Linked DNA regions of Cricetulus griseus. The protein of the gene in region 3 binds, or shares a complex with, the protein of the main gene of each other region. Links are inferred from orthologs where the notes say so. Each region holds a gene or a part of one and is shown on either strand. Other genes may lie near its edges.

The links.
Region 1: the proteins of Rab7a (region 3) and Rubcn are in contact, whole or in part, in a crystal structure (PDB 6WCW), measured with the Homo sapiens proteins. The link is inferred for Cricetulus griseus from reciprocal best matches to the Homo sapiens genes RAB7A and RUBCN. Residues at the interface, in NP_004628.4 of Homo sapiens: Ile41, Gly42, Ala43, Asp44, Trp62, Gln71, Ser72, Leu73, Gly74, Val75, Ala76, Phe77, Arg79, Ser101, Asp104, Glu105, Ile108, Gln109, Ser111; in NP_055502.1 of Homo sapiens: His818, Asn821, Met822, Lys824, Thr825, Arg827, Leu883, Gln885, Ala886, Lys887, Gly888, Phe889, Ile890, Glu892, Gln895, Glu897, Ile900, Pro903, Cys915, Lys916, Arg931, Arg934, Arg938.
Region 2: the proteins of Rab7a (region 3) and Pdzd8 are in contact, whole or in part, in a crystal structure (PDB 7F6J), measured with the Homo sapiens proteins. The link is inferred for Cricetulus griseus from reciprocal best matches to the Homo sapiens genes RAB7A and PDZD8. Residues at the interface, in NP_004628.4 of Homo sapiens: Lys10, Leu14, Asp16, Ser17, Lys38, Ile41, Gly42, Ala43, Asp44, Phe45, Gln60, Trp62, Gly66, Glu68, Arg69, Phe70, Gln71, Ser72, Leu73, Gly74, Val75, Ala76, Phe77, Tyr78, Arg79, Thr98, Ser101, Trp102, Glu105, Phe106; in NP_776152.1 of Homo sapiens: Ile999, Lys1000, Leu1001, Val1002, Arg1003, Lys1004, Glu1005, Gly1007, Leu1008, Asp1009, Asp1010, Phe1013, Ile1014, Lys1017, Gln1044, Leu1051, Asn1054, Asn1055, Val1058, Leu1077, Leu1084, Gln1085, Thr1088, Ile1092.

The regions. Positions count from the first base shown.
Region 1 is NC_048597.1:56,716,177-56,719,759, reverse strand, and holds the end of Rubcn (run domain Beclin-1-interacting and cysteine-rich domain-containing protein), read right to left. Parts: intron 3,397-3,583; coding exon 3,303-3,396; intron 3,091-3,302; coding exon 2,912-3,090; 3' UTR 517-2,911; downstream 1-516.
Region 2 is NC_048596.1:1,975,243-1,979,674, forward strand, and holds the start of Pdzd8 (PDZ domain-containing protein 8), read left to right. Parts: upstream 1-1,606; 5' UTR 1,607-1,797; coding exon 1,798-2,705; intron 2,706-4,432. UniProt on the Homo sapiens protein: Molecular tethering protein that connects endoplasmic reticulum and mitochondria membranes. PDZD8-dependent endoplasmic reticulum-mitochondria membrane tethering is essential for endoplasmic reticulum-mitochondria Ca(2+) transfer.
Region 3 is NC_048601.1:55,308,465-55,312,107, reverse strand, and holds part of Rab7a (ras-related protein Rab-7a), read right to left. Parts: intron 3,105-3,643; coding exon 2,978-3,104; intron 1-2,977.

The DNA.
Region 1 (3,583 bases), on a different chromosome or scaffold from region 3:
CCCGGACAACTGAGAGAACTTACCTTGTGTGGGAGTGGGAGAAATGGAAGGAGATACAAAAGGAAAAGGCAATCAACACACTTGATGACAGGTGGGGAGGAGATAATGCCTGACTAGCCAGACACGTGACCTGATTCAGAGGAAGTCAAAGACAACCAGCTTTCAAATGTGAGTCACTAATGGTTAGGTTTGTAGAGATAAATGTTGGTTTTAGATAGTGGTGGAGACCATAATGAGACATCTAAGGAGCCACGTGAATAGTGTTTGTGGTGTGTACCTATCGTCCCAGCATTAGGAGAGCAGAGACAAGAGGATTCCAAGTTTGAGGCCAGACTGGGATACGCAGTGAGACCCTGTCTTTAAAAACCAACAATAACAACAACAATGAAACAACTAACAAAAATAGTCACGTGGAGGAGATGCAACATCACATGGGTAGTTTTCAGACATGGCTGCTTTTCAGTAGATACACAAAAGCATCCCATAGTCATCAAGGAAGGTAAACAAAAGGCAAGATTCCATGTCCTTAAGTTTATTAAAGATGACCATGAACTGTTAGGATGTACATGAATTACAGCAGGTGAAAATCCAGTTCAAGACACAAATTGTACACAAACAGATCTTTTTATTTAGACTCTTGCTCCTTTTCTGTTAGTTCAGCCAAAGCTCTCAACCCTTGGCAGAGGGAGTTGATAGGAACCTCCTAAGTGCCGAGCTGTGGGCTCCCAGGCCTCTCGGTGCCTTGGAGCTAGTCTCCACCTCAGGAACAAATGCTTCCCTTTGTACAGAGAAAATGCCTCACTCCAGCCGCCTCCAGCAAGCTCTCTTCAGTGCATTCAGAATTCTCCACAGCAGGGATTCTCAGATACTGTCAAGTGACAAAGTGCTTTCATGACATCTCCTCTGTTCCCCACTCCCAAATAAATAAACACATGTATTTGGACATAATGACAGCACAGAATCAGGGGGCACTAAAAGACATGTGATCTAAAGGGACGGGTTGGGAGGTGGGGAACACTGAAACTTAGTGCCATGGCTGAGGCCAGCTTGAACCTGTGTTGACTGGGAGTGTGGGCGGTGGCAATCTCCTCAAGTGTGGTGACTTAGAGTGAGCTGGAAGTCAGCCACAAACTGGAAGTCCAGTCAGAGTCTGTATCCGAGGTCTGACTTGGTGACACTTGAGTTTAAAGGGGTCATTCCTACATCTCCTTGAAGGAAGGGGGATTTCTAACCAGCCCTTCAAAGTGGCCTTGGCCTCAGCTTTGGGTCTCACCTACAACTGAGAGAAGAGTCCTAGTCAACCGGTCCAATGCTGTTGTCAGCTCCCAAACGTGAGGCAGAGGAACCTCACCATGGGCCAGTTCTGACATGTTCTTCTTGCTCTGCCAGAGCTCAGTGTGGCTGTTACATCAGCGTCCCTTCTGTCTCTCGGGGAGACCCCTTGTTCCCTGCAGCTCAGAACCTGCCCGCTTCCACCAACCACTTGCAACTTTGGCTTCTTGGGGCAGTGCTCGGGCCAATTATTTCACTAGCAACCAAGTACAGGAAGACAGGTACACGGAAGAAGTCAGTTCTAGAACAAAAGCACTGTGGACATCAGTTCCCAGAACTGCCAGGATCTGAGATGCAGCCCTGACCAGTGCTTACAGAGGTTAGGCGCTGCAGCAAGTGTCTGGCTTAGTCTAGCAAACCCCATAAAATGCACATTAAGTGATGGGGAGGAGTCTATTAAAATCAGTACTATGAACAGATGATTTAACATACATTACTGAGGCTGAAGAGTTAAGTGCATAAACGGCATAAAGGCTCCTGTTACTCTGAGCAAACAAACATTCACAAACTGTCAAGTTCTCCAATGCTACTAAGTGGACAGGCTTCTCCCGACTGACAAAAGAACCTAAGGCAAGAGGTCAGCCAATGGGAGGCCCCCGCTCTGCTGGGGGAAGGGACGGAGAATGGAGTTGGGTCACACCTTTATGCAGAACCAGAGTGGTCACACAGTCATACAGAGCAGTAAGGGACCACTATTAAGATGGTGGGTGGGGTTTCTATCCTCGCCTTAGGCTGGCATGAGGGACTTGCCTGAGCTTGAAGTGCACCTGTGCTCAAGCTAGTTAACTAGAGACTGAACACCCAAGAGGCAGCCATTATCCTTTATCTGAATAAATGTTCCTCAGGCAACAGCTGCACCTTACTTATGTGTGCAGTGCTGGCTACAAATGGGCCTGGCCTAAGATTCAGTTCTGTTCTTTGCTTCAAGCCCATCAGAGTACACAAGCTGGCTTGTGTCCACCGATGCCTGGTATACTTGAAACAGGGAAGTCATGCTTGCCTCCTTGAGGTCTCTAAGGATTCTAGGATTAAGGATTGTGTTCTTACCCATCCCTCAGTGCCTACATAAGTTGTACAGAATGCCCACCGGGTAGCCCCATTCTCTTCCCAGCCTCAGGGCACAGTCTTGTTCTCTTTCGGGACTGTGACAGGAAAATCCCATTCCCATCTTAGCAGCCAAGCTGAAGGAAGACCACTGGCTGAGGAAGGCCTGGCTCAGAAGCTGGGGAACTAAGTCAAGAGTGGGAATGAGCCTTGAGCTGCAGCTGCAATCAGATCTGGTCCTCGAGGGACAGGCCAGGCATGTCAGAAGAACTGGGTCTCACTCGCTGTCCATTCCCCTGACAAGAGCCAGTCCAAGTGGCAGTTCTGATGGGAATACCCAATGCACACAGATACTGTCACAACAGGCTGGACCAATCAACCAATAAAGGTTGCCTACACCTGGACAGCAGACAAGTCATAAAAAAATGACAATATACTTTTTAAAAAGGCCCCATCACCTTCCTTGAAGGTGTGGTTCAGTTCTGTATCGTTTGACCGTAGCCAGTCCCTTTAGACAAAGGGTTAGGTCCTTTCCTCAGGTGGTCTCCAGGACAGTGGCCTCTAGAGCCAAGGCTTCCGTGGGCTCCTCCTCGTAGTCAGACAGGTAGGACTCCAGGCTCTGCTTGGCCAGCAACTCCCGCCGGGCCTGTAGCCGCTCACACCGGGGGCATCTTCCAGACTTGAAGCAAACTTTATGGTAACATGCTTTACACTCTAGTCAGGTTGAAAAGAGAGAGAAGAAAATGATTTGTATTATCAGGCTAGAAGCAAGTTATCACCTCAGCCACTCCTCCTCATAGCTCATGTTGTGGCGGTGGTGGAGTGTGGAGTTACTCACACCATACTCTGGCTAATAGAGAACTCTCAGGTAATACATTCACTTGGGGTCCAGTGTTGCTTGTTTCAAAGCTAGTATCTGTCCTCACCTTCACAGGTCCGGCACTTATGTAGCTCAAAAGGAAAGATGACATCATCCTCATTCTGGCAGAACTCACAGATGAAGCCCTTGGCTTGGCACAGCTATTGAGGAGAGTAGGTAGCAAAGTTAAGAGACTGGCCCAGAAGGGAGGACTCGGTAAGGTGGAGCAAACCATAAATATCACTTTGAGCAGGGTGAAGGGGTCTACTGTCTATGGTGTAGAGCCTAGGGCTGGACTTGTGAGCATGAGAGCCAGGCATCATCACATAAAACAAGAGAGACACAGGC
Region 2 (4,432 bases), on a different chromosome or scaffold from region 3:
GTTGAATTAACATATAACTGAGAAGGGGGCCCCACAGCAGAAGCAGAAGGTGACCACGAACACAGAAGTTGTCTCAAACTTGTAGAAATGTCAGCTAGGTTGTTCGGCAAACATCTGTCTTCCCATTCATTCAAAAGCCATTCTGGCCTCAGACCCGGCCATGAGTAAGAAAGAGGAGATCAAATTGATTCCAAACCTGGCCCAGCTGGGTCAGAACTCTGGTTTAATTCTAGAATCACTCTTGTCAAGACACTCCTTGGCCTGCATATGTTCAAGGGCTAGAAAGGATACCCGCACTGATGTCTCGTAGGCAGCCCGAGTCCTCCAGACTTTCAGCACTGGAGTATGTGACTTCCCTAGGACTAAAAGGTTGCGTCCGCGTGGAAGGACGTAAGCTATGATGAAACAACCGAGTAGTCAGAAAGTACCGGAGCAGACATTGTTGCCAGGGAACACAGCAGCTCTGGTGGTTGGGTCCTGGCCTACCCTGTGCAAAAACCTCCTGCTTTCCCGTCTCTGCATCTCCAAATTCTTTCTGGGACCTGATCAGCTCCTCCCCGGCCCAACAAACTCCAGCATTCCCCACGTTATTATATCGAGTAGAAGCCAAGGACCCCGACAGCTTCTTTTAGACTGTGCCAGTGTAGCCATCTGTGAAATGGGAGGGTGCTAAGAGCAGCCAACTGCCTCAGGGATGGACCCAGTGATAAGGCCGGGAGGAGGAGGAGGGGGGAGGCGGCGTGGACAACAATTAGAAGGGAGTCACTAAGGCATCTTCCAACCTGCTGGCAAATTCATTTCAGCCCACCTAACTCCTCCCAGACCTGGGCAACGGAGCGAACTTCTCGTTTACGTTCGAATGCTCCCCTGAGGTGGGAAAGTTTAGTTCCCTCCTCCTCCTCCTCCTCCTCCTCCTCCTCCTCCTTCTCCTCTCCCTTCTCCTCCTCTTCCTCGCCATTCTTCTCGGTCCCTTCTCAGGGCTCCCCCTTCTTCCCTCCCTCTGGGGACCCGAGCGGTCTCGGATGCACTCGCTCCTCTGGCCGGCCTGGGCAGTGCGTGTCCCAGCCGGGCGCCCGCGCTCCGGCTCTCTGCGGCGCTGCGCTGCCCTGCAGGGGGGAGGCGGCGACACACTGCGGGAAGCAGGACGGTCGCCGCAGAGGTGCCCACGGCCAGCGCGGGGGATGGGCGCGGGATAACGGAGGGCCGCGCCAGGCCCGGTCCGCCCGCACCGCTGCTCTGACTCCTCCTCCAGGTCACCCTCCCTCATCCCCCGCGCTGCGCTGCGCTGCGCTCCGGAGAGGACGGACGCGCGGGCTCTCCCTGTCTCCCTGTCTCCCTGTTTCTCTCTCTCTCTCTCTCTCTCTCCGGCTCTCCCCGGTGGCCGAGTGCGAGCGTGGGGGCGCGGCGCTGGACGCTCGCCCGGGGGCCGGGGAGGGGACCCGCGAGCACGCCGGCCCGTCCACCGGGAGCGCGCCCGCTCTGACGTCACGCGCCGCTCGCCCAATGAGCGGCGTCCCTGCGGGCAGGGGGGCGTTCCCTCCCTCGCCCGCCGCCGCCGCTCGCCGCCGCCGCTCGCCGCCGCCGCCGCCGCCGCCGCCGCCTCTCGTCCTCCCCGGGGGGAGCGAGCGTCTGAGGAGGCGCCGCACGGCAGCGCCTGGCTGCGGACGCTCCGGCCGGGCCCAGGGAGCCGCTCATCCCGACCGATGTCCTCAAGATGGAGGCGGCGGGGGCGACGGCGTGAGGAGGAGGGCGGCGCGGAGAGCGCGGGAGCAGGCCGGCGGGCGGCGGGGCGGCGGGATGGGGCTGCTGCTCCTGATCCTGGCGTCGGCCGTGCTGGGCTCGTTCCTCACGCTGCTCGCACAGTTCCTGCTGCTCTACCGCAGGCAGCCCGAGCCGCGGGCGGACGAGGCGGCCCGCGCGGGCGACGGCTTCCGCTACCTCAAGCCGGTGCCGGGCCTGGCCCTCAGGGAGTACCTCTATGGCGGCGGTAGCGGCGGCGAGGAGCCCGCGGCCGGGTCCTGCGAGGCCGGCGCCAGCCCGACCCCGACCCCGTCCGCCACCGCGACCGCGACCGCGACCCCGGACAGCCCGGCCCCGCCGACGCGGGAGACCTGCTACTTCCTCAACGCCACCATCCTGTTCCTGTTCCGGGAGCTGCGGGACACGGCGCTCGCCCGCCGCTGGGTCACCAAGAAGATCAAGGTGGAGTTCGAGGAGCTGCTGCAGACCAAGACGGCCGGCCGCCTGCTGGAGGGGCTGAGCCTGCGCGACGTGTTCCTGGGCGACGCGGTGCCCTTCATCAAGACCATCCGCCTGGTGCGGCCCGTGGTGGCCTCGGGCACGGGCGAGCCTCCCGACGGCGCCGACGCCGACGCGCTGCCCGCCACCTGCCCCGAGGAGCTGGCCTTCGAGGCGGAGGTGGAGTACAGCGGCGGCTTCCACCTGGCCATCGACGTGGACCTGGTGTTCGGCAAGTCCGCCTACCTGTTCGTCAAGCTGTCGCGCGTGGTGGGGAGGCTGCGCTTCGTCCTCACCCGAGTGCCCTTCACCCACTGGTTCTTCTCCTTCGTGGAGGACCCGCTGATCGACTTCGAGGTGCGCTCCCAGTTCGAGGGGCGGCCCATGCCCCAGCTCACCTCCATCATCGTCAACCAGCTCAAGAAGATCATCAAACGCAAGCACACCCTGCCCAGTTACAAGATCAGGTGAGGGCCCGCACGGTCGGGGGAGCCGCGGCTGCCGGGGTATGGGGCAGGGGCGGGCGGGGGGACGGTGGCCTTCCAGGGAAGGGCCGAGGCCCAGCACCCAGCACGGCCCTGGTCTGCAGTGAGCTTCCACCCTGGGTAAAGACGAGCGCGTGGCGGGCATTGCCCGTGCTGCCAAAGACAGCAGTGCGAGCTGCAAGCCCGACCCGGTGCCCCTGGTCCACTCGGAGCCTCCTGGGGCTGTTGAGATACTCTTGTATGTGGTTGCTGCACCCTGGGGGCAACAGCTGTGTCACCACTGCCTTTTGCAGCCTGTCCTGGACCACGTGGAGGAGGAGAAGTTGTTCTGGATGCCTTGCAGGCCTGAAGGGCGTGCTCACAGCCCAGGTCTGTTGTGAGTGGCACAGGCTTTAGTGCTTTAGCAGCTCTGGGGGTCGAGGCAGGGTTTGTTGCAGAAGGACGCGTCTTAAGAGTTGAGTCCTGTGCCTGGTGGTCCCTCTCTCTGAATTTGTAGCGACTGTCACTCTGCCCTTGGTTAGTAGATTCTGCATCTCAGACAGACCCAGACTCCACCTCTCACTCAGGTGGCTGTTCCCAGTGGCTGTTCCGCTCTGAAGTCAATTGAAGATATGTTAAAGACGGGGATTTTGAGTTTTTAAAAGTCTCCGCTGTTATCTGGTGGGCCTAGTTTTACGTGATACATTGTTGTGATTCATGTATTGAGTTTTCTTTTACTGGAAATGAAAATTTGGAGGGATAGACTTCATCTGTGGGTCTTGGGAGGCTTGTTTGAGTAGAAAGGCTCTTGTTTCTTTTAAAACAGCCACTTTTTAAAAAACTTCTCTTTCGGTCTTCTACTGATTCCATGTTCACTAAATTGAGCATTTTAGATTTTGTTCTTTGAAAGTATCCATCTAGTATGGTCTTACAACTGCCCTTTAGTGGAGATTGACTGTCCCTGGACATTAGCACAGTCTCAAGCAGATTTGGAATGAAGTTTTGATTTGTGAAGCTTGGAATTTTACTGGTTATGTTTTGTTAAACTAATAGAATAAACGGCAGTTTAAACTGTTGGGTGGCAAGAGAACTATTGTGTGAGGCACATATTCCTGTGGCTTTGCAGGGGATGGTGAACTGGTCATTCAGAGTGCAGGATTTCTAGTTCTGTGAAGTATGCATAGTTTATGAAACATACTTTTACATGATTACATTCTCAGTGCTTGGGATTCAATACTGATCAGAAATTAGTGAGGACTGCCACCACCTTCATAAAGTTTAATTGACTTATCCACTTACTAACATTTAACTAGGGTGGAGTTGATAGAGCATTGAAATCACTAGAAAGCTGCTTTTAGATTAGCAAAAGGAAAATAGAAGTGTGAGGATGAAAGTCTGCCTGAGGAAGTGCTAACATGTCTTGTGTAGCCGCTTCTCCAGAAGTGTGCTGCAATGGTGATGTTTCAGGACTGATTTCATGAGTTACAACACATCTAAAACGGTCCCCATTCCTACAAAGAGAACATAGCTAGCATTCATCCTGTTTTATTCTTGAAAGAATGAAGCACATAGTAGTTTAGTTCTTGCTTAAGTCACACAAGCTGTGTCAGGTGGTGAAACTCAGCTTGGATAAAGTGATGCTGTCCTTTTATTTCTTGTAATTTAAAGGAATCCAACATCATTTACCCATCATATTTCTTGGACTGGGAACTGTCCATCAATAAATGCTT
Region 3 (3,643 bases):
TTTTCTCAAATTTGGTTTTTTAAACTTTCACTCAGATATTTTGAAAACCTCTAGCTGTGTATGTGTGGGTGGCTTGGGAAGGCTGACTTCCATTACCTCCACTCTAAACTGTAAGCCAATAAAGAGTTCCTGACTTTGTGCTAGTTGTGGTAGCAGCAGCCCACAGTGCCAGCACTAAGGAGGCAGAGGCAGGGAGACCAGACAGTCCCAGCCATCATCTTCTGCTACAGTTTCAAGCCAGCCTGAACTCATATAAGATCCTGTTGTTCCCCAAAGCTCTTAAAAGGCTAAATGAAACACTATATCTACCAAAGAAAAGAAAGAGGGGCTGGAGAGATGGTTCAGCAGTTAAGAGCACTGGCTGCTTTTCCAGAAGACCCAGGTTCAATTCCCAGCACCTGCATGGCAACCTGTCTATAATTCCAATTCCAGAAGATCCAACACCCTCAAACATACATATATGCAGGCAAAACATTAATGCACATTGAAAATATATAATAAAAATTTTAAAGAAAATGGGGTTATAAATATGAGAGCCTGAATTCTGATCCTTATCACACACATAAAAGCCAGACATACATGGGGAACTTCTATTATAATACCAGCACTACTACAGGGAGATAAAAGATAGAGACAGAGGCAGGAACTCCTATAAGCTCAGAGAAAGCTACTCTGGCATATGTAGTGGGAAAATAAGAACAAAGACCCTGATTCAAAACAAGGTAGAAGCTGGATGTCATAGTGCACACCTTTAATCTTGCACTTAGGAAGCAAACACAGGTGACTATTTCTGAGTTCAAGGCCAGCCTGTTATATAAAGCCAGAGCTACCAAGTGAGATCCTGCTAAAAATAAAATAAAGAGGGAGGGGTAGAAGACAAAGATCAACACCGGAAGTTGTTGTCTAAGCTGCACACTCATGCCTTGGTACACATGCACCTGCATTCACACACATCAAAAAGTTAAAATACGGGGTGACAGCCCTCGGCTTTAATTTAAAACTCAAAGATCTAATGTGAAAGATTAATCTTCTCTTGTCTCTTTAGTTTGATGCTGCTATACCAACTACCTGAGTGGTCATTATGGACCAGAAGACAAAATAAAAAAATATTGGGATTCTTTTTCTAGACATGTTTATGCACAAAAACATGTACATACTACATAAAACACCTCAACAACACAAAGAGTACAGCCCACATGAAGATTTTTTAAAAGTGTTTTTCATTGGAACCACTAATACACTTGGGGTATTAAGCTAAGCAGACACATGAAAACACTAGACTGGCTTAACAGAACTCAATCTTATAAAAAAGGGTTTATTGCAGCTGGAGAGATGCTAGCTGCTCTTCCAGAGGTCCTGAGTTCCATTTCCAGCAACCACATGGTAGCTCACAACCATCTATGAGATCTGGTGCCGTCTGCCTGGCATACATCCAGGCAGAACAGTGTACACATAATAAATAAAACTTTAAAGGATTTATTTATGTGTTTGCCTGCACTGGTGCAGCAGGTTGCATGCCTGGTGCCTGGGGAGCAGAAAAGGGTAACAGATCCCTTAGAACTACCGTTATAAACCCTGGTGCTGGCCCCTGAACTGGGTCCTCTGCATCACTGCGCCATCTCTCCAGTCCCAAAGGCTATAAATAGAAGAGGCAACAAACAAACAAACAAACGAAAGCCACCTTAATATTTTCTGTGTAAGAAGTTAGGAAACACACAAAGATTTCTGACCTAAAGCACTAGACAAAGACACTAATAAGAGATAAGTGGCATGGTGGCTCAAGACTTTAATTCCAGCAGAGTCAAGTGCATCTTTCTGAGTTCACAGCCAGCCTAGTGTACAGTGTGAGTCCAAGGAAAGTCAGGGCTACATAGACAGACCCTACAACCACCAATCTCAAAAAAGAAAGAAATATGAAAACATTTTGGAAAACAGTAGGGATCCGTAGGTTGCTAAATTTAGGAAAAACAAAAACAAAACGCCAGCAAAACCAGACAACAAATAGCGGTGGCACACGCCTTTAATCCCAGTACTTGGGAGGCAGAGCCAGGTGATCTCTGTGAGTATGAGACCAGCTTGGTCTACAAGAGCTAGTTCCAGGACAGCCTTCAAAGCCACAGAGAAACCTGTCTTCAAAAACAAAAACGAAAGCAAAACAAACAACAAATAAACTTAACTAAAATAAACTTTATAAAAATTCCTAGTTGTCATGCAATATAAAATTCAAAGTTAGGGTTGGGGTCTAGCTTAGTGGTAGGAACATGTGCACTCAACATGCATGAGGCCCTGGATTCTATTCCTACCATGCCCCACTCAAGTTTAAAGTGGTTGCCTTTTATTTTATCTAACAATTCTATGAATACAATGGTAGGTTTGAGAAACAGGGTTTAAACACGTTGCTGGGAATAATAATTCTGTATACTGTGTAAACTACGCTGGTTGGTTTTATTCAGAAAAGAAGCTGACTGGGCAATAGCTGGACAGGATAAAGTAAGTGGGAAAACTAGACTAAAGACACTGGGGAGGAGGTCATAGTCAGAGGAGTCACCATGGAGACACAAAGAAGAACAGGAGGTACAAGATGAAAGAGGTAACACCACGTGGAAAAATGTAGGTTAATATAAATGGGTTAATTTAAGTTGTAAGAGCTAGTTAGTAATAAGCCTGAGCTATCGGCCAAGCAATTATAATTAATATTGAGTCTCCATGTCAGTTATTTGGGAACTGGTGGGTGGGAAACAAAAGTCTGCCTACAACAGGGACATGTTAAAATAATTTAGATTCAGTAAGCTGGACCTGCAAGAGGGCTCAGCAGGTAGTGTTTTTGGGTTTTTGGGCAGTCTCCAGAACACACATAAAGATAGAAAGAACCAGCTCCACAAAGTTGTCCTCTGACACACACACACACATAAGTAATACATTTTTAAAAAGATTCAGTAAGCTAACTAGTCAGGCTAGCAGCTCTGCAGTGGCTTACCTGCATGGTGACAAGTCTGTCGTCAACCATCACCTCCTTGGTCAGAAAGTCTGCTCCTATTGTGGCTTTGTATTGGTTACTAAACTTCTTATTCACATACTGGTTCATGAGGGATGTCTTTCCAACACTGAAATTGGAGAAAACCACAAGTCTAAGTCAAATTAGGGACTAAAACTAACTTGTGCTTTCAATTTAAAAAGCCACCTCTCTGGGCTAGAGATACCTGAGTTGGTAAAGTGTGTACCTGACACACACAAGGCCCTGCAAAACAAAACATTTTATCAAAGCAACCTACCTGTCACAACTGCAAACAGATGCCTTTCTCTCAGCCAAGGGGAGCACCAACAATCACCCTACCATCATATACTAGAAGGTTTGTGTTTTCCTAGGATAGTGCAGGGGGAGAGGCTGGCAGGATGGCTCAGTAGGTGTGGGGGTTTGAATGAGAAAGGCCCCCAAAGGCTCATATATTTGAATACTTGGTCTCTTGTTGGAGGATGTGTCACTGTGGATGGGCTTTAAGGATTCAAGATACCTCTATAATCTGCCTAGCAGCCGTGAATTTAAGACTAAAGAATTCAAGACTAAGTTCCTAGCTACTGCTCCAGTCCAGGCCAGCCTGCTGCCAATGCTCGCCACCATGATGGTCATGGACTCACCCTCTGA